Linked DNA regions of Mus musculus: regions 2 and 3 are each reported to be linked to region 1. Evidence: microRNA targets listed by miRTarBase, many of them from high-throughput screens and not tested one by one. Region 1 holds a microRNA gene; each other region holds the end of a gene's coding sequence.
Evidence for each region. The annotated mature microRNA mmu-miR-139-5p reads UCUACAGUGCACGUGUCUCCAG and lies in region 1 at 4,704-4,725, opposite strand. An mRNA with a match to its seed (bases 2 to 7 or 8) in the 3' UTR can be bound and repressed. Matches are read on the target gene's strand: a 7mer-m8 pairs with bases 2 to 8, a 7mer-A1 pairs with bases 2 to 7 and ends in A, and an 8mer does both.

Region 2: miRTarBase lists Tex9 as a target of mmu-miR-139-5p. Seed matches in the 3' UTR shown: 7mer-A1 at 3,815-3,821.
Region 3: miRTarBase lists Iba57 as a target of mmu-miR-139-5p. Seed matches in the 3' UTR shown: 7mer-A1 at 2,346-2,352.

The regions. Positions count from the first base shown.
Region 1 is chr7:101,473,107-101,480,106 of GRCm38, reverse strand. Mir139 (microRNA 139) reads right to left here and starts at 4,731; the gene lies at 4,664-4,731. All of the region lies in intron 1 of Pde2a (phosphodiesterase 2A, cGMP-stimulated), which reads right to left.
Region 2 is chr9:72,455,436-72,462,597 of GRCm38, forward strand. Tex9 (testis expressed gene 9) reads right to left here. Exons shown (of 12, transcript NM_009359.4): 11 at 6,421-6,555; 12 at 2,620-5,843. The coding sequence ends at 5,766. Mns1 (meiosis-specific nuclear structural protein 1) reads left to right here. Exons shown (of 10, transcript NM_008613.3): 9 at 1,343-1,468; 10 at 2,878-3,141. The coding sequence ends at 2,958. Among named protein-coding and RNA genes, the nearest start is that of Mns1, 20 kb to the left of the region's middle.
Region 3 is chr11:59,152,143-59,159,304 of GRCm38, reverse strand. It overlaps Iba57 (IBA57 homolog, iron-sulfur cluster assembly), which reads left to right. Exons shown (of 3, transcript NM_173785.6): 2 at 127-467; 3 at 646-3,936. The coding sequence ends at 1,040. Among named protein-coding and RNA genes, the nearest start is that of Iba57, 8.0 kb to the left of the region's middle.

The DNA of each region.
Region 1 (7,000 bases):
TCTGCGTGAAGCCTGGGGTTTGTCCAGGTGTCAGCTCCAAATGCCACTGCCAAGTCTCCTTGGCTACAGACACACACACACACACACACACACACACACACACACACACGTGCTGTTTTCCCAGTGGGAGGGAGAATCGCAGGCATTGCCTTCCCTGCCCTGCCCAGACCTTGCTTTGGTCTCTCCCACCTGTCAGGGTGTACTGCATCTTGGTCATGGTTGATATCTATCCACTGTGGACCCTGGAAGCAGTTGATTCCAGACAACACAATCCCTAAGTTTGCCTGCTTGCAACCCTCAGGCATCAGTGCTGCCTTTACATAGAGCCCCATATCCTTGAAGACACCCAGTATGATGTCAAACCCTTCTAGGTTCTCATGGCAACAGCTACTTTCTCATGTAGCAGACCAGAGACCCCCACATCAGCACTGTCACAGGCTTCTATGTGCTTCCAAGCCTAAGGCTAAAGACCACAGAGGGAAGATTCCATACCCAGAAAATCCCCCCCCACATTTTTTTCTTGACCCACACTCTCTAGAATGGAGCTTCAAGGACAAGGCCCCAAGTCTTGGTGTCCATGGAGTTCTATTCCTGTCTCAAGGCAGGAGGATTGCCAAGAGGGACCCAGAGAGCGTCTGACTTTGGTGACATCTGCCATGGGTGTGCTTAGGGAAATGGGAATGGCAGCCACTGCAATGCAGGAAGCCTTCCATGCAAGAGAAATTTCTGAAGCCACAGGCTGCAGTAGCTGTCTCCCCATTTGAGGGATGAAGAAACTGAGGCTCAAAGAAAAACAATGGCCCATCTGTGGTGGGCCAGAGATTACCCAAACCTCCTTATCTGAGCATATACAGCACCCAACTCCCATCTCCCACCCCAAAGGCTTAGAGAAGTCAGTGTGTCCTTTGTTCTGATTGGCCAGCTCCCCAACCTGCCCTTTGCTTTGATTGGTGGATGCCTTGAGCTGCCCTTTACTCCATTTGGTTGCTACTTGTCTGGCCTTTGTTCTGATTGATCAGTTTGCTGTGCCTTTTTAGGCCAAGGGCAAGAAAATGGCGGTGGTGGTGATGGTGGTAGAGGGAATGAGGTAAGATAGCTTGGGGAGAGTTGGGGCACCAGCAAGGAGGGGTTCTCCATCCTTGCCCGGGTAAGTAGGATGCAGACTAGTAGAGTTGAGGCTCCGGGCTTGGCAGCCATCTCTCCATCTGCTTTGGAGTCTGACCTGCTCAAGAATGAGGTGTTAGCTGTGGGAACGATTGAAGGAAACAGGCCACTCAGAGGGGCCTGTACAGCTCGCTGAAATGCCAATTGCACAAATGAACACCCACCTCTCACCCCACCACAAGGGTCTGAGAGTAACTTAACCTCCACTACACCAGCTGGGGGAGGGGAGTTACATTCGAATCCTGCCTGGGCACAGGACAGAACTGCAGCCTTGGGGGAGGGAGCAGCTGTGAAGAGGAAATGGGGCAATTTCTGAAATGGAGGCACAGTAGGGAGCCAGCCTCAAACAGTCCTAGCACCCCAGGACTCTCAAGGGAGGGAAAAACAGCCATTTTTACCCACTTGTTTGTCTGTCCTCCCTCGCCCCCTCCCAACCATGTGCCACATAGGCAGGCTGTCAAGTGTACACCTTAGCTCACACCTCCATGTAGATGGCTCATATAGGCACAGACAGAGAAATGCAGTCATACGTCCAATGAGTACAGTCAGGACTAGTATTTAGGAGTATGCAGGCAGACACACACACACACACACACACACACACACACACACACACACGGGGGTGGGGGAACATAGCACGTGTGCACATACACAAGAGTCCTTGCTCATTGTGGGTGGAGGCTGTCACATTTCCTGTCCTTGCAGCTTTTGTGAACAAACACCAGAGTAAATATCAAAATATCAGCATAACAACCAGGCAATTTCCCAGACCCCAGGGGAGAACCTGTGGCGTATAGACAAGAGCAATGATTTCCAGCCCTGTCCCAGATTGACGACAGAAGCTCCATGTGGCCTTGAACACACCCCTTTCTCTTCTGAACCTTGTTTTCCTCCTGAATGTAAAAGAGTCTTTCCACTCTGCGACACCTCTAGTTCTGTGGTTTTATGGACTAATTTGATGAGGGTGACTGGGTAGGTGGATGGAGGGATGCATGGAATGGGTGGGTGGGTAGATGAGTGAGTAATTAGGAAAATAGGTGGGTGGGTAGATGGGTGCATGACTGGATGGATGGATGGATGGATGGATGGATGGATGGATGGATGGGTTGATGGATGAGTAGATAGGCAAGTGGGTAGAAAATGAGTAGATAGAAGACTGAAAAAATGGGAAGATGGTGGGTATGTGAACAGATGAGCAGATGAGAAAAATCAATGGATAGATGGATGATTAGAGCAGTTAGATGGCAGATAGGTGGGTAGATAGGTAGGGAAAAGGGAAATGGGTGGGTGGGTGGACAAATGGGTAAAGAGATAGGAAATGGAGGGGAGGCAGGTGGGTAGGTGGGTGGGTGGGTGGGTAGGAAAATAGGTGGAGGGTCAGTGGTAGTCTGTGGACAGTAGGTGGAAGAATGGACAGAGTTCTTTTGCTCTCTGCAGCTCCCTTACCTGCGGCTCTCTACCTGCTGCTGTGGGCTGAGACTGCCATCAGCACCGCAGACAGCGCCATTCCTGTGTGCTGGTCTTTCTCCCTAGATACCATGAAAGGGGACAATGCTGTTGGAACCAGGGTTTCTCTGAAACCTGGGCGGTTGCCAGTTTTCTGAAACCTGGGCCTGAATCAGCATTTGTGTGTTCGACTGGGGAGAGCAGAGGGCCCAGATTGAATTGCTTCTAACTCCTTCCTAAGATCATATGAAACCAGAAATTTTGGTCTTCTCTCCTTTGGGGCCATCCTTAGGGACAGATGGCCTTGAGTAAGGGGTCACTGACAGAAGATGCTGTCTTATTCTGCATCTATAACCCTCCATGACTTTCCTAACTCACAAACCTGCCATCTGCTCGCCCTGCTGCTGGCACCTGGACTCCCTACAAGAAAGTAATAACATGGGACTCCAGAGTAAGAACCAAACTGTACCCTGGAACCATTTCTGCCGATCCATCTTGCTCTGTGTCTCCTCCTGGCCTGAGGTTAGGGGCTGACCTCACAGACTGGAATCTGATATCTTCCTCCAAAGGGAGATTCCCTGGGAGCTCCTCTGCCTGTCTGCTTTTTTCCATCCCTCTGGGTCAGGCTCTTCTGGTCCCTCCGAGTGCTTCTCTGCCTCTCCCCATCATACCCTAGGCGATGTCCATCTGTCACACACTGCTCTCCTGTCTTGCCATGTCATTTCCACCTCCACATCCTGGCTCTCTCTCCGGGAAGGCTTCTCTGCCCACCCTCCTTCTCTTTCCTGCATATCCCCACCCCAATCACTCCTGTCTCTCCTGCCCACTCCTCCCCCAGATCTCCAAGAAATCATCCTGAGAACATGGGGGGAGAACATCAACAGACAGAATGCAGCCATGAATAGAGGTGCCAGAAAGTGGTCACGGTAGGGAAAACCAGGAGCCTGGAGCAGATGCCACCTGCCCCCCTCTCTGTCTCCATCCTCTTGTTCTGGAGAGCAATGCACACATTTCCTAATCTTTCCTGGAGAATGGGGAGTGCATCTATCTCCATGCCCAGGGCACACCTCCATTAGCCAGAGCTAGGTTACTTAGTATAACTATTTAAGAGGACTCCTTGAAACTCAGAATAGGAAAGTCCCTAGCCCAAGCCCAAGTCCAGAAGCCCAGTTTTCCTCTCTGGCTCTTCACAGCTGCCCAGACACAAGGCAGAAAACAGAGGAAGCAGGAGAAGGTGGCTCCTTTCCCTCCCCACCGCCCACGCCTGCCACCTGCCCAAAGAGCTGTTTCTAACAGACCTGTCACCTGAAAATATTACAAGAGCTGCTTGTGTGTGCTAACACTTGCATCCACGACTTCCCAGTAGCAAGGCTGAGCTGGGCCAGAAGCAAAAGGAAAGGAAAGAGACTAGGTGATGTTGGGCAACCCAGATGCCAAGTGAGCCACCTCATAAGCCCTGAGTGACTCTGGCTATGGGGAAGGGAAGGTACCTTTCTCAGGTACTGATTGTGGTTGCAGATGTCCCTCAGTGGTTTCCAAAGTACGGCATGGCCCAGAGTCACCTGGAGGACTGTTGAAATACACAGTGCTGTCCCCACCCCAGAATTTCTGCATCAGCTGGTCTGGGAAGAGGTTGATGAATTTGCACTACCAACTCCCCAATTTCTAGCTGCTGCTGGCCTGAGACGTGCCTTTCACTCACCCCACTTTAGAGGCACAGGGGTGTAAAGACCGGGATGTAGGGAAGGTAGATCCTTTCTCCAGTGAGGGTAGCCATGGGGACAGCTGGATGCTACCCCCACATGAAGAGACTCCACAAGAAAGATCCCCAAGGAGAGGAGGCATAAGGGTGAGAAAGGAGAAAAGGAGCTGTGGCCATCGTTGAGTTGGTGACACAGGGGCACGTGGAAGGAGCCACCTGCAGCTCAAGAGCCAAGTACTACAGGAAGGGGCCCCCTTGTCCTCCTTTTCTCTCTCCCCCACCCCCTTTCTTTTGCCCACCATGCCCTCTTCCCCCTTAGCCCACCACCCTTCGAAGACTCTGGCTTCAGTTGTTACTCCAACAGGGCCGCGTCTCCAGCCTCCGAGCCACACTGGAGACACGTGCACTGTAGAATACACCTGCGCCTGTCCTGGCGCCTCCCAGGGGAACCTCCACTCCCTGAGGGGGACCCTTGGGACAACTGTTGGCTTCTCTCATCCCTTACCATAGCTGGTCCCCCCCTGGACCTCCCACTCCTCCCCAACCAGGCTGAACTTCTACCCCAGGCACTCCCACTGTACTGACCCCTTTAAAGCCATCCAGGGCCAAGTGTGGTGATAGAGAGTGGGAAGGAGGAGAAGCAGCCAGGTGGGAAGGCAGGGGTTGTTAGTCCTCTCAGACTGACAGTCTACTCTCCAGTCTAGAAGGGAAAGATTAGGGAAATGGAAAGAGGAGGGAGACAAGAGCCCAGTATCGGGAGGAGGTGATGGCCCTGGCCTGGAAGCTTTAAGATGAGTTGAGTTGGGTCAGACTTTGACTTCTCCTCACCCTACCCATCTTCAGTTGCCTCCTCCACACAGTAGGACCACTCTGTCCCCATAGCCCTCAGGTTTCTAACCAGTAAGGCCCAGCTCCCATACATGTCACCATAGTCTCCTCACAATTCCCGTCATCTTGGTTTCCTGTGGTCTCTAACCTTCCTGCCTCTGTGACCATGAGAGTTGAATTGAATACAGTGGGACAGTCACTGGGGACTGTGGTGAGTATCTGTGACTCAGAGCTGTGTCTGGGGAGATGTTTTGGCATCAAGGAAGCTTGGGTACACTGTTCCCCAGGGTGTACAAGAAAGAAGAGACTCTGGGAATCAATACCCCGAGAAAGGGTCTCGGTGAACTGGCTGGCCTCCTGCTCCGGTTTCTATGAGCCTGAATGTCTACGACCCCACCTCTCATGTGGCCTTGGAGATAGGACCAGAGCTTGACCCAGCAAGCCTAGAAGCCTCTGCAAGTCAGACATAATGGTCCACTCAGGAGAAAGGAATGTCGAGTGACTAGCTGGACCAGTGTCAGGAAGGGAAGTATGCCAAAGGAAAAGATATGGTCAGACAAGAGTGGGTGGGTGAGAGAGCCAGTGATGGTCTGCTCACTCGGACCCTCACAACTTGATGGATGCTCCTTCCCGGTGCTGTGTGTCATCACCTTGCCACACTGCCCTCTCTGGCTCCCCCATCAGGCCAGGAGCTTTTGGGGGAAAGGACAGCATCCTGATTGTCCCATAGCTCTTCTGCTCTTAGCATCATCTAGTCTCCAATGAGAGCCCAGAAATGGTGGAGGCCAGCGACCTCCTGAGCAGAGAAGTGGAGTTCCTGGAGGTCCCAGGTGGGGAGACAATGGCGGTCTCTGTATCCCAAGTCTGGCGTGATGAGAGACGTAGACAAACAGCCCACGGAATGAGAGGATGCTTTTCCCTGAGAACTTTTGACAGCATTTTCAAGGTATCTGGCAAGCCAGGAGACCTTCTGCTCTTCAGGATCATCTCCAAGTGGGAAAAGCCTAGGGTCCCAGGAAGAGCAGGTGAGCAGCACCTCTTATTCAAGGACGTCATCTACATGGGGAACACCTGTCTCCACCCCAGTCCTCCTGGGAATTCCTATGAGACCAACGTCTTTAGACCTCAGGTGTCATGACATTGGATGCCCAGTTTGGTATGGGGTGTATGGAAGGTCAGAGGAGACAAAAAAAAAAAAAAATAGCCAGGTTCTCCCCTAAAGGCATGGGGCGAGGCCCTCTCTCCTGTGGCTTTGGACTTCTCAAGTCCTGCTTTGGCCAAGGGATAGACTTGTCATCTCTCCAATGTTGGAATGGGACTGGGTGTCTCTCTCTAGGCCTGGGTGGAGCCTCTTGTCTCCCGCTCTTCCATTGTCCCCTTCCCTCCTGTGCCCACAATAGATAATAAATGCTAAATGGCACTGACTTGACACAGGGCGATGTATGGCTTACAGAAGGGCAGGAAGGGAGGGCTGACCAGGGGTGCTGGGCAGAGAACTAAGTGTCCCATGGTACCTGCCTGGTGGTTGGTCCTGAGTGTCCCCAGCCCTCCCAGTACCTCCCCAGGGACCTCTGTGTCTGCTTGTCTTGGTGTGTCTCTTTGGTGTATGTCGATTCCACAGCCTCATGTTGCTTCCTCCTCTGACTGTATTTGGCTCCATCCTCACAACTTGGCTCGTCCCAACTGTTCCCCAAATCCCAGGAGAATGGGAGTATGAGACATACAGGGACAGAGACCAATTCAGAAACAAGGAAACACGTGAGAGTCAGAAGGGGATAGGAGACAGGACTGTCGAGGCCAGGACCAGCCGGGGAAGACCCCCAACATACAAGGAAACCCTTTAAGGAAACCTAGGGAGGA
Region 2 (7,162 bases), not on the chromosome of region 1:
TTGTGTAAGACAAGTCTTGCTTTGCCCGGGAGCAAATGTGGATGCCTTAACAGAACTTACTAATTCTTAGCATTACGTAGCCTTAAAAGCACTAAACTGCCCATTTCTATTTTAGAGGCCTAAGTAGCTGTCTATAATCCTGTTCACCTCTAAGAATGTGTATGGTTTAAACAAATTCCTAAAAAGACTTTACTACCAGTTTATTCAGGCTTTGTCCCACACCTTTCTAAACCGATCGACCTGCCTTAGAGTAGAATTATGTGAAGTGGGGGTAAACATGTAGTGTGGGGTAGCACAGCATATGAAGGAAAACCCTGTGTTATGCCAAGATTAGATAGGTTACGTCATCTCATTAAATCAGTGTGTGGGGCTGGGTTGCTGTTCCGTGGTAGAGGTCTTACCTGATTCCGTTCCCACTTCTGCAGATCCTACTCAGGAGTGTGGCTTGGGTAAAGTTCTCTGGGCCCTAATGTTATGTACATGACATCACATCGGCATTCCATAGCTCAGAGTTCCCACAGAATTCAGTATTCTCCAGAAAGGTACCATAGCTTCTTTGCTGGGACTCTGACCTCTGCAGTGTGCTCCACTTAGACCTTTAACGATGCATTTAAAAAAACGTATCTTCAGATAACTGTGTTTTGTTTTATGCATTAGGATTTTATTTTTGTCTTACACTATAAACTGTTTGGGGTATCTTGGGAACGGGGTATATGGTGGAAACTGCATAAATATTTGCTGAATTAGTTAGGAAATCACTCATTTGAATACATTTTTTCTTGAGATTGAAGATTTTCCTAAAAAAAAAATGTGTCCTTTAAACTTCCTGTCATAGGGCTGGGATTGCAGCTCAGTGGTAGAGTACTTGCCTAGCAGGTGCAGGTGCAGGGCCCTGGGTTCAAACACCAGCACCACAAATAAAGAAAACAAAAATACGGGTGGGATATAACTTGTTCTTGAAAGTTTAGAGAGATAATGATGATAAAAATACAGGTATATATATTTACCTGTATTAAAAGACATACACTATGGGCTGGAAAGATGGCTCAGCAGTTAAGAGCACTGACTACTCTTCCTAAGACCCTGAATTCAATTCCCAGCAACCACACGATGGCTCACAACCATCTGGAATGAGATCTGATGCCTTCTTCTGGTGTGTCTGAAGAGGGCAGCAGTGTACTCACATATGTATAATAAATAAATCTTTAAAAAATAAAGATATACATAATTATCTTCTAATCTTATAATTAACACACCAGTCTTATCATCTAGCTTTATTTGTAAACTTCATAAGAGATGAATGTATTGTGTGACAGTTAAAACATTTTGATTTTGTTTGCAGCAACGTGAGCTGGAGGAATTGCAACTACAGCAAAGGCGGCAGGGCTGCATCAATGAGATTATTGAAGAAGAGAGGCTGAGACTCCTCAAAGAACATGCTGCAAAGTTACTAGGCTATCTCCCCAAAGTAAGTGACACTGACCTTAGTGTGTGAGCCTCGTCCTACTGGAGAAAACAACGGCGCTGAAGCGTGATTCTAGAGTCAGAGGGAGTAACTTCATGCTGTTGTTTGTTGGTGAAGCACTGGGACCCAGGCAGAGTTGATACCTATCGTCCTTTTTAAATGCCTCGATAGCAAGAGCTTGTCCTGGAGCATTACTAGTGATCTGAGCTAGAGTTATCAAGATTGAGTATTTATTCATTTATTTATTTATTCATTTATTTACTTTTTGAGACAAGGTGTAGCCCAGGCTGGCCTGGAACTCCCTATGAAACAGAGGATGACCTTGAACTTGTGGTCCTCCTGCTTCTCCTCCTGCAGGCTTGTGTTACTTTGCCAAGCTTCTGTGGGGCTGGGGATCTAACCTAGAGCCTTGCTAGGCAAGTGCTCTATGTAGTGACCTATATCCCCAGCCCCTGAGCTAACACTTTTGAGGCTCTTCATCTGCTTGTTGCATGGGAAATCTGAAACAAACTACCCTAGAGCAACTATAAAAGGGTAAACATGAAGATAATGAGAGACATGAAGCCTTGTCATGGGTGAACACATGCTAGACATGAGTCTGAGCCGAGTCTGCTCTGTGGGAAACTGATTGTAAGTAGGTACTAGGCAGCCTCAACTATTGAGAGCTATTCCAATAGGCAATGAATTTTCATGTATAGTATTTGAGACACATTGTGACTGCTAATAATTAGCTTCCTTATCCATATAAACATGGAGATTCATAAAGCCACAGTCCTTCAAATATATGAGTCATATTGCTTGAAGTCTTTATTGACTATGCAGAATCAAGTGTGTTCAGTCCCTAACCAATGAAAGAAAAAGGAAAATTATTAAAAGTTGCTAGCCGTAGTGTATTAAAGTCTAATTAGTTAGGTAGATTTAAATACGCATGATAGCCTGATGCCAAAATTCACCCATGATTGGTATATTTAATAAAACAGACTATATATATGCTGAGAGGGCCTTTGGACTTCAACATCTGAGTGGAGAAAATACTTCTGGAGGGCAGCCGGGACCCGTTAAGAGTAAAATTCAGTGTCTCAGAATGAGCCGCTGATAGACTGAGGCAGAAAGAGTGCGTCCGGACAGTAGCCTGTAATGTAGGCAGTCACGGCCGGAGTTAGAGCATAAGGCACAGCAGCCCCTAGCACAGCTTAATACTCTGAGGTTGAGTAATCAGGAACTGGGAGCAGCTCAGTGATATTCAGATATACTTGAAGCCATAGTCTTTCTGATATTTTAAAATTAAGTTTCAATAATCGATCTCATTATCTGCATTTCTTCATTAGCTTCATGTCTGTGTGTGTTAGTCCTAAGAAAATTCAGTGAAATACTCTAATGTTCAAAGTAACCAACAAAATGCTTCTTTGTAGGGAGTGTTTAAAAGAGAAGACGATGTTGACATGCTTGGTGAAGAGTTCAGGAAGGCCTATCAGAAAAGGGATGGAGTCTGAAGCCGAGTCTTCATAGCAAGGCCGGGCGAGACCTGGAGTGCTCAGATGCTGCCACTAGATGTCAGCGTAACTGCTGTTTTACAGTTGGTGACAGTAGGCCCTGGTCTATCTGCATGTTCTAAAACATCCTCCTATTTCATCATGTATACAGTTTGACAAAAATTAAACACATTAGTACTTTAACTGCAGAATTAGTCATTTTTATTTACTATGCATTCTATGATGCCATCATATCACAGAATTCCACAGAACCAGAGGCCAAACACAGCAGCTCACTACAGGGAGACGACAGACCTCTCTGGGCAGTATGTAAGACACTTTTCTAATTCATAAACATTAAACAGCTATTTACTTCTCTCAAGTTTCTGTCATCAATATTTTGTAGTTTTCAATACAGCCATCTTCAATCTCCTTGGTAAAATTTAGTCTAAAATGTTTTTGTTAGATACTACAAATGGGGTACTGTAGATTTTCTCTGATATTCTGCCACTGATGTATAAAAATGCCACTACTTTGGCTTGTGCTATGCTAGGGACTGGATCTGGGGTCTCATACATGTTCTGTAAGTGCTCTGCCACTGAGCTACAGCTCAAGGCTTTCATTTGTGCTGTCAGTCTCCTGATGTGTGCCTATTGGTTTTCTTACCTTGTAACTTTACTCAGTTGATTTGATCTCAACCATTTTTCATAATGGACAACCCAACTTCTTTGTTCCCAGACTTCATATTTTTCTTTCTCTTGCTGGTTATATTTGATTAGCATTTCTGCTAAGATTAAAAAAATATTTTACGAGCCGGGCGTGGTGGCGCACTCAGGAGGCAGAGGCAGGCGGATTTCTGAGTTCGAGGCCAGCCTGGTCTACAGAGCGAGTTCCAGGACAGCCAGGGCTACACAGAGAAACCCTGTCTCGAAAAACCAAAAAAAAAAAAAAAAAATTTTACATGTGCTTGCCTGCATATATGTGTACTAGATGTCTGCAGAGCTCAAGAATGCCTCAAGACGGTGTCCTAGCCTCTGGAACTGGAGTTACAGATGACTGGGACCATACGCACGGTGGGAACCAAACCTGGGTTCTCTGCAAGAGCAACTAGTGCTCTTTTGGGGAGGTTTTGGAGAGGGTGGAAACAGAGTTTCACTGTGTGGGCCTGGCTGTCCAGGCTAACCTCGAACTCACAGAAATCTTCCTGCTTCTACCTCCTGAGTGCTGGGATTAAAGGCGTGTGCTCTCTGCCTAGCCATTGCTCTTAACTGTCTGATTTCAGGTCTTATAGGGATGGGCAACCTGGGATGTGATTAATGCAGACCACTACAAATAGCAAACTTAAAATGTTATACAAAATTCATTTTTTTAATTTGTAATTCTGTTGCATAGTCTTTCAGTATGAACTCTGAAGATCACAATATCATGTCACAATATAAAAGGATTGGATACACAAATACGTGGGGCTAAGCTTCAGCTTTTCCCTGTTCAGTGTGTTGGCTGTGGGTTTGTCACATATGACTCACGTTACAGCACATTCCTTCTGTAACCTACTTTGCTGACAGTTTTGTCATGAAGTGTTGCTCAGTCTTGGGCTTTTCTCTCTACTGAATTTACAAACCTTTTCTTCATTCTGTCAGTGTGACATGCTTACTGATTTGAATGTCAAATCATCTAGGTTGAATCCCACTGCATCGTGATGAGGGATCTTTTGATGTATAGAAGTTGTTTGCTGGTGTTCTGGGGAGCATTTCTGCATCTGAGTTGATCAGAGATACTGGACTATGGGAGTTGTTGGCTTGGTTTTGTTTGTTGCTCTTGCATGATTTCGGTATCAGGATGAGCATACTTGAATGTGGAAATGTCTTTATGTCACTGTTTTGGAATAGTTTGAGAAGAACTGCCAATCTTTAAATGTTTGGTAGAAGCTGGCAGTGAAGCCGTCAGGTCCTGTGTTTTTCTTTGAGGAGATTTATTTTTTTAAATATTTATTTTTATTTTATGTGTATCCCTGAGTGCATGTCTATGTATCCCGTTTGTGCAGAGGTCAATGGAGGCCAGAAAAGGGCCTTGAACCCCTAGAGCTGGAGTTAAAGGTGGCTGTGAGCAGCCCTGTGGGTGCTGGGAACTGAATTTGGGTCCTCTGCAATAGCAGCAATGCCCTCCGTAACCACTGTGCCATCACACCAGCTCCCAATAGAGCTTTTTATTATGGATTTGATCTACTTGATCTCCCTTCTTACTATGGGTGTGTCCAGGTTTTTCTATCTTAGTTAATTCTTGGTAGTATATCTCCAGAAATTAAACATTCTGTGTTATCCAAATTGTTCATAATCACTTATACTTATGATCCTTTGGTACAGTAAGTGTGTCCCTGTTTCCATCTCTATTTTGTCTCCTGTGTGCACAACCACTGAACAAGAGAACACACACATAGCCCCTGCACAACAGCCTCTGGTCCCAGCCTGCATCACTGCTGTTGGATGCAGCAGCCGTGCACAGCACACAGGCCTGCAGCAGACTCAGCAGCTGCAGCTGGGGATCTCCAGAATCTTGCCCTGCCATCTTCTCTGTCCTCTCCCAGGTCTAGTAGGTCATAAAAGATAATTAAGAGTCGAAGTCTTGCTTCCTTATTTCATAACTACTAATGAAAAAGGAAGTCAGGCCAGAGTTGCCGTCTGGCTTTGTCTTCCAACATCCTCCCAAACATTCTGTTTATTTCACCAGGTCATTATCTAACTCTTTTATTTCACAAATGTTCTTATTACTCATGAACAGCAAGAAGACTACACTTGATATCAAATGAGCATCCCATTGCAGTTGCTCACTCATGAACTGCCCCACTCAAGAGCCTTCATAAACTCCTCCTCGCTGAAAGACAGCATCTTGGCAGCTTCAATATGCATCTGTTTTTAAAAAATATATATTGTTCAATTTAGAGATGGACACACAACAAAAGAAAATTTGTTTGTGTTAATATGCTATCAAAAAAATAAGCTATTGTTGGATTATACATACTAACCATGCAAGTGTAACACTTTAAATTGATATTACATGAAGACCAAGCTACTGTTAAAAGAATAATTTGATATCATTATACCTGATCTTTGTAACGAGAGAGGGCTGTGAATTGTCTTTTTTCATGTTTCAAGAAAGATACAATGTGTTTTAGAATTACTGCTCAAAGTTTGAAGAGGAAATTAATCCACTAAAATTAGTCATTCTCATGAATGGTACTTTCTGTAGTTGGGAGGGAATATATATACAAACATATCTGTGTATGTGTGCGCGTGCGTGCGTGCGTGCGTGTGTTTTAAACCAGTGAACCTCACTATGTATTACACAGATGTGACTTCACACGTATACAGTGCATCTTTAGATACAATTTTATGTGTAAGATTATAAGCAAAGTAAAAACAAACTTTTTGGCAGAACGGTCTGTCTGTAGTGTATCTGAGATACAGCGTCTATTGTTAGACTCACCTTCTGCCTTTTCAAAATGTCAATCAATTTCAACTGCTTCTTGAACCCTATCATTAATTCTCCTTTTTGTCTTTCTAGTTTTTTGTTTTCTGATTTCAACACTTCAATTTTTTGATGGTCTTCATTTGTAATATCCTATGAAAGCAAATAAAAAAAATTTTAGTTGAAATATAACATTGTTCTTTATATTACTAAATAATTTCAGTCAGCTCTTTAAAAATATTTTTAAAATTAACTTTCAATTCTAAAAAAATCTATAAACCTAAACTTGACAGAACATAAGACTTTTCAGTAGCAGAATTTGCACATGGTATGGTCGTTTGAGGTAAGAGCCACATATTCCACTATCATTCCTAGCAAGACTTTCCACTGTACAGGTTTACAGTGGTCCTGCTGGGCTCGAGACAGAGAACAGGACTGTGAGATACTGCATCGAGTTGGAGATCCAAGAACGAGCCCCACATTTTACCCACACACTTTCTTTAAAGCACTGGCAGACAGAAGTATTATGTCTGGAGTGAGAGTCTCAGAAGCCTGTGAAAGACTTATTCTACAGAGCTGGTCAGAGAACTCATCCGCAGCAATAACAAGGACACCAAATCTGAACTCTCAGAAAAGATGGAACAGTAGAAGTTACTAGGTCCAGGAAGGTTCTGTGTTTGCCGTACTGAAGAGAAGGTTTCACAAAAGGAGTAAGACAGCAGAAGGAGCTAAGATTCCACACACACTTCTTAAAAGAGGA
Region 3 (7,162 bases), not on the chromosome of region 1:
ACACTGGAGGGGCAGCCCCATGTGGCCCGCGGAACTTTTCTCTCTGTGTTTTGTTCTTCACAAGCTTGGTAAGCTGGCAGTGGGTAGGAACTCCTGCCGGCTCTAAGCCATGCCTATCTCCTGCAGACTCCCAGAGTGTACGGAGGGGGCACCAAGCTTTCTCCTGGAGTGTGACAGCTCCGTGCTGGGCGCCCTACAGAAGCACCTCTCCATGTACAAGATCCGGCGGAAGGTCACCGTGGAGCCAAGTCCGGAGCTCCACGTGTGGGCTGTGCTACCCTGTGTCCCCCAAACCTCTGAGACTGCACCTCTAGAAGAGAGGGTAGAAGGCACCACCATGCTTATCCGTGACCCCCGGACTGCACGTATGGGGTGGCGGCTTCTCACCCAGGATGATGGCCCAGCCCTGGTGCCCAGGGGACAGCTTGGGGATCTCCAAGATTATCACAAGTACCGGTACCAGCAAGGTATGAGTAGGGACAGCTATGCCAGGCTGGGGTTGGGAGGTTCATGGGGGCAGGTGGACTCCAGAATGGGCAGAGGGGTTGGTAGAGTTGGCCTGCAGGGCTGGGCTTTATAAACTGCAGGCCTGTTCTTCTCTCTGGACACGGCTATGCTCATTCTCTTGGTTTTTGAATCCCACAGGCATCCCCGAGGGAGTCTGTGATCTTCCCCCAGGGATGGCCCTCCCCCTGGAGTCCAACCTGGTCTTCATGAATGGCGTGAGCTTCACGAAGGGCTGCTACATTGGGCAGGAGCTGACGGCCCGGACCCACCATACAGGTGTCATCCGCAAGCGCCTCTTCCCAGTGAAGCTTGAAGGCCCCCTGCCTGCAAGTGGCGTCAGCCCTGGCGCCATAGTGACGGTGACTGCCACAGGCCAGGCAGCGGGCAAGTTCAGGGCTGGCCAGGGACACGTGGGACTGGCTTTGCTGCGGTCAGAGACAATCAAGGGTCCTCTCCACATCAAGACCTCCGAGAGCCAGTTGGTGGCTGTGACTGCCGTGGTGCCGGACTGGTGGCCCACAGCTGCCAAGTAGCTTGGATGCTCTGGAGCCCCACTGGCCTTAGAGTTTCCAGATGCCTTTGAGCCTCTGCCCAAGGTTGTCTACTCTCTGTGCTGCGCCTGTTGGGTATGAGTTCCTCCTCCCGTGGTGCCTTCTGGAGCACATCCTCTAGGAAAGTTCCATGGGTTCCAGGCTACAGATCGGCTCATGCTTCCTACAGAGAGCCTACTCTTATGGGCTGTCTTCTCTCGAGAAGTCTGACTGAGAGCAGAGTGACCACCTGAGGCTGGGAGAGAGAAGGGTCTGAGCTCCCATTTGGACCAGCTTCTGAACAAGATTTGAGACAGTCCATATGCCAGGTCTACAGGCCTATGTTGACATAGGCCTGTGTCAGACGCCAGGTCCCTGACCTTGTTTCCCCTTGGAGGAAGGGACTCTGTGTGCCTGCAGAGTTGCTGGGCCTGGCTTCGTGTTCTCTTGAAACTCATCTCAGGGCAGAGATTGTATAGGTTGTGTGCAGGGTCGGGAGGTTGGATCCCCTGGGTTGAGAGATGTGTTCTGTGAGCCACAGGGACTACATGCCTACTGTCCCAAGAGCTCTTTTCACGCCTCAAAGTGAGCTGCTGTCTTTTCATGTTCCCCTGGAAGCTCTAGGAGGGGTGGAGCCCAGGGCTCAGGTCCATCTGGGGGGGAGGGGAGGGCTTCTGCTCGGCTAACGTTTTTGCTGGCTTGGGCTTTTAGAAGGGAGTTACTTGCTGGCCACTGGTGGGGTGCATACCTCCCTCTGAACCACTTTTTCTAACCTTTGTAATGTGAACTGAGGGTCTCGCCACAAAGCCCAAGGACTAGTAAAGTGTGGTCTGAGAACAGCCCTTTCAGACCTCTTGTTTCATTTGGGTCAGGTTTGGTAGGACAGACCGTGGGACAGCTGTCCCCAGAGACCACCCACCAGATGGAAGCAGCCCACTGTTATAGCCCTGGTTGGTCTTGAACTTGAAATTCTCCTGCCTCAGCTTTGTGAGTGTTAGATTGATAGGCAAGCCCCAGTGGGCTCACACGATACACCTATGTCTCTCTCAAGAGATGTATTTTGTTTTTATGTCTTTATGTGTGTGTTTATGGATGAATGTCTGGGTGCCTAGAGAGGACAAAAGGAGGGTATCACATACCCTGGAGTTGGAGTTACAGGTGACTCTGAGTTGCTGAACATGCGTGTGATGGGAACTGAACTTGTATCCCCTGCAAGAGCAGCAGTATTCTTTGTTGTTTGTTTGTTTGTTTCTTTGTTTATTTGAGGCAGGATTTTTCTGTGTAGCCCTGGCTATCCTGGAACTCACTCTGTAGAACAGGCTGGCCTCGAACTCACATAGGTCTGCCTGCCTCTGCCTTCCAAGCACTGAGGTTAAAGGCAAGTGTCACCACTATGCCTGGCTAGATCCAATAGGTTTATTTCAGCAGAGTTCTACTGAACTGGTCCATACTAGGTTGGCAGGAAGTGGGGAGGCCGCTGTGAGCCTAGGCAAGGCAATGGGTGCTCAGGGTTCTGGGGTGGGGGGATGGGGACATCTCTGAAACTGTTTTCTACAGTGCCCCCAAGGTAAATCCACAGAGGCCTGGGGTGTGGGCAGCCTGGCAGTCACTCTGGTGCCAGGGGCAGTGAGGACTTCTAAGAACTGTGACTTTGGAGGCTGCTTAGGCTAGGGCTCAAGGTGCTCTCTGAATTGAGGTGCAGTTTGCCGCAGCTTAGAAGGAGGCACGGGGGGTTGGGAGTGCCCTCCTTCTTCAGCAAGAAGAAGGCACCTTGAGTGACCTCCTCTCTATGGTACTGAGTGGGTAGACAGTGCTGGGGACAGGGACCTGGCAGAGACAACCTGAAGGATGGATTACCCTGGCTGGCGATTTCAGGGGGTTCATGGCAGTGGGAGTGTGGCTGAGCCCCTCACATGGTAAGGCACCAGGAAGCAGAGAAAGGGCATCTAAAGGCAGGTACATCCTTCAAGCAGAAGGACAGACTTCACATTCCACAGGTTCCACTGCCTTCCAAGCAGCACCAGCTGCTGGGGACCACAGTGAGGTCAAAGGTGAGTTCATGGAGGACGGTTCACAACCAAAGCACAATACTTGAAGCACACACATAGGCTGTGCAGGTCCTAGCATGGCGGACAGACCCAGCTGTCCTGCTTGGATGGTTGCCTGGCCTGGCCTATGACAGCCTTGTCTCCGTGGCTGTTTTGCCTCTGCCTGCCTGCCCACTCAGGAGCAATACTGCGGTTGCGTTGGATGTTGGGGTTCCAGCTGTGCTCTGGAAGGCTGTGACTGATGGGCTCCTGCCAACCCCACCTGGCAGCCTTTTAGATTGACAGAGGAACCTCTAAGGGTTCCAGGCAGCTTACTTTAGGGTTGCAGTCATGTGACTGGCTTTTGCCCTCTCAAACCTGATGGGGGCGTGCCCACACAGAGGTTGGTGCTTCTGGGCCTGCTTCACATACATTCTAGCCTTCAGAAGGAAGGCAGAAAGGTCCAAGGCAGGCCCGTTGGGTAAGGAAAGGACAAGTCCGAAAAGAGGCAGGATGCTGCTTTGGGCAGAAGACCCGCTTTGTGAGTCACCCATTGCCTGCTGTTGGGCTCTTCCAGTGTTGGGGGCTTGAACAGATCCACAGTTGCCATGATGTGTCTCCACAGTTTAGAAAGGCAGCACCGCACATTAAAATCGCCAGTGAGTGGAGCCAGTGGGCACTGGGCTGATCTTCAGGGACCTCAGGGCCATTCTTAGTGATGCAGGCATGTGTTGGTATTCACATTCTCACAGGGATCTGTATAGACCCCAGTGTGGACACTTGAAAACCCCTAACTGTTTTTCAGTGTGTTTTGTAAACAGTACAAAGCTTTGAAAAATAAACCAATCAAGGGGGGAAAGGGTGTAGATCTTATTCTGGAGTTGTTTGTTTTTTAAAACTACCTCTAGTGCCGGGCGTGGTGGCGCACGCCTTTAATCTCAGCACTCGGAAAGCAGAGGCAGGCGGATTTCTGAGTTCGAGGCCAGCCTGGTCTACAAAGTGAGTTCCGGGACAGCCAAGGCTACACAGAGAAACCCTGTCTCGAAAAAACAAAACAAAACAAAACAAAACAAAACAAAAAACCTACCTCTAAACCAGGTTTTAGGGAATGCTTTTCTAGGATACAGGGTCTCAAAGCCTTTAACACCACGACCTGTCTTGGTCTCTGTTGAGGTGGTAGGTCAGGAGTGACCTTGGGAAAGGCCCCTAGAACCTATGAGGCCAGAAGGCAGGAGGAAACGGTAAAATTTGCCTCTGCCGGGGTCAGAGTGAGGGGCACAGGTGATTTAGGTGATGTTGGTGGGCCCAAGCTGTAGGGGTGACTCCCGATCACTGGGCACCTGGCTTGCCAGGAAGAGGTTGAAGTCTGCTTATCAAAGGGGTGGGGGCAGGCTCTGAGCTAAAGCCAGCAACACTAGGAGCAGACTAGCCTGGGGAGAGCAGGCTCGTCCTTGCCAGGGGAGTTTCATGTGCCAGACAGAACCTCACAGTATACTGGGGACACTCCACACGTGCTCACCTGAATCCTATGAGAACGGGCCAGCAGCAGAAAGACAGGCCCACACATTTTAAGACAGAGTAACAGGGCACATCATATAAGATATATGTGGAATATATTAGGTAAAGGATTTATATTTGAGTAAGCGGGAGAGGGACTAGTGATTAGCTGAGGCGGGAGGGAGGAGAGAGATGGGTTAACAGGCACAAGGTCACAGCAGCTGGGGCAAACATTCTCTTCTAGTATGTGGAAGGGTACAGTGAGCAGACAGTGACACTAGTCACATCATTCAAAATAGCTGGAGGAGCGTGCCGCATGTCCTCATCACACAGGAATGACAACTGTGTGATGGCGTCACCCAACCACCTTGAGTTGATCATCGAACAGCGTATACAATGCTTCAGCTGTCACACACTGAGCTCTGAAAGGCCTGGTGACTGACTGGCTGCTGGGTTAAAAGTTAGGTTTGAGAAGGGGTGGGGGTGAGGGTGAGGGGAGGCTGCTAAACAGATCAAGCACAATTGTAAAACGACAAGTTCTAAGGTGAAAGTGGGAAAGACGTGCCAAGCACATGCCCGTGACTCTGGCACATGGGACAGGCAGGGGGATGAGGATTCAAGGCCAGCACAAGGGCTATGTAGACCTTGACTGGAAAAAATGCTCCCCCAGAAGGAAGTCTGTGGGATGTGTTTTCTGGAGAATTCGGAGCTGGGAATCACTGAGCCTCAAGAATGATTGTCCTGGGGTGGGAGAGATGGCTCAGCGGGTAAGAGTACTGACTGTTCTTCCAGAAGTCCTGAGTTCAATTCCCAGCAACCAACCACATGATGGCTCACAACCATCTGTAAAGGGATATGATGCCCTCTTCTGTTGTGTCTGAAGACAGCTACAGTGTACTCACATACATAAAATATACTTACGTACATTAAATAAATAAATCTTTAAAAAAAAAAGATTGTGCTGGAGTGCGGAGAAGACAGGAGAGTGTGAGCTAGGATAAGGGACAGGAACTCAGTGTAATACAGACAGCATACGGTGACTTAAATAGTTCCGGAAGCACAGGAGGGAGAGCACGGTCAGGGTGTAATCTAAATTATATTGGTAAATTGTCACGGGCTAGCGGAGTTTGTTGGAAGTGGGTTCTGGGAGTCAGGAGGGTCTCCTTATCCTAGACTAGGTTTTTTTTTTTTTTAAAGATTTATTTATTTATTTATTTATTTATTTATTTATTTATTTATTTATTATGAGTACACTGTAGCTGTCTTCAGACACACCAGAAGAGGGCAGTAGATCTCATTACAGATGGTTGTGAGCCACTTTGTGGTTGCTGGGATTTGAACTCAAGACTTCTGGAAGAGCAGTCAGCCCCTTCCAGAAGGGGCTCTGTTCCTTTCCTTCTCGTCTTTATTGCTTGCCGTAAAGGTGTATGTATGTATGTATGTATGTATGTATGTATGTATGTATGTATGTATGTATGTATGTATGTTTGTGGGTACACTGTAACTGTACAGATGGTCGTGAGTCTTCATGTGGTTGTTGGGAATTGAATTTTAGAAACTCTGCTTGCTTCTGTCAACCCTGCTCGCTTAGTCCCTGCTCATTCTGGCCCAAAGATTTGTTTATTGTTATAATTAAGTACACTAGCTGTCTTCAGACAGCACCAGAAGAGGGCATCAGATCTCATTACAGATGGTTGTGAGCCACCATGTGGTTGCTGGGATTTGAACTTAGGACCGCTGGAAAAGCAGTCAGTGCTCTTAACTGCTGAGCCATCTCTCCAACTCTATTGCTTGCCTTAAAAATCAGTCAATCAATCAATCAATCAATCAATCAATCAAGCAAGCAAGCAAGCAAGCAAGCAAGCAAGCAAGCAAACAACAACAACAACAAACCAGGGTCTTACTTGTCTAGTACTGGCCTTGAAGTCACTATATAGCTGAAGATGACCTTGAATGTCTGAAACTCCAGAATCCTCTCCTCAGTGCTGGGTGACAGGTGTGCACCACTGCACCCGGTTTTTGAGGTGCTTTCTGCATGCTAGACAAACACTCCTGAGCTTCTGATGTGGCCCTGTCAGCAGCCAGCCTGACCATAGACAGGCAGGTCAGCACACAGAACAGGACAGAGAGCCATGGGCGCAGCGTGGGTGTAGCTCACAGTGAACCCTGAGCTTAGAATCCTCAGTCTCCAAGCAGTATGTGATGAGCTGCGTGTCTGGTCCTTTGTGGCTATGGCTCCAAATCTCCACCATAACCCCCCAGCTAGACCTGATCCAGGGGCTTTGTGGTCTTGGCCTGCTCAGACAGTCACTTCAAGATGTTATTAGGGTGGTGACAGTCTAGTCCTCATGAGCATGGAGCTGGTGTTCTTCAAGGTGCGAGGAAAGTCAAAGGGTTCCATGTTGCACATTTTTGAAATTGCAGAGAATATTTGTCTAAGAAAGTACCATGACACACACATGGATGTAGAGGATAACTTTTAGGAATTGATTCTTTCTTTTTAATGTGAGTCCCGGGGTTCAAACTCAGATTGTCCGACTTGGCAGCAATTGCTTTTACCCACTGAGCCACCTCCTCAGCTTTTTTTTTTTTTCCTGTTAT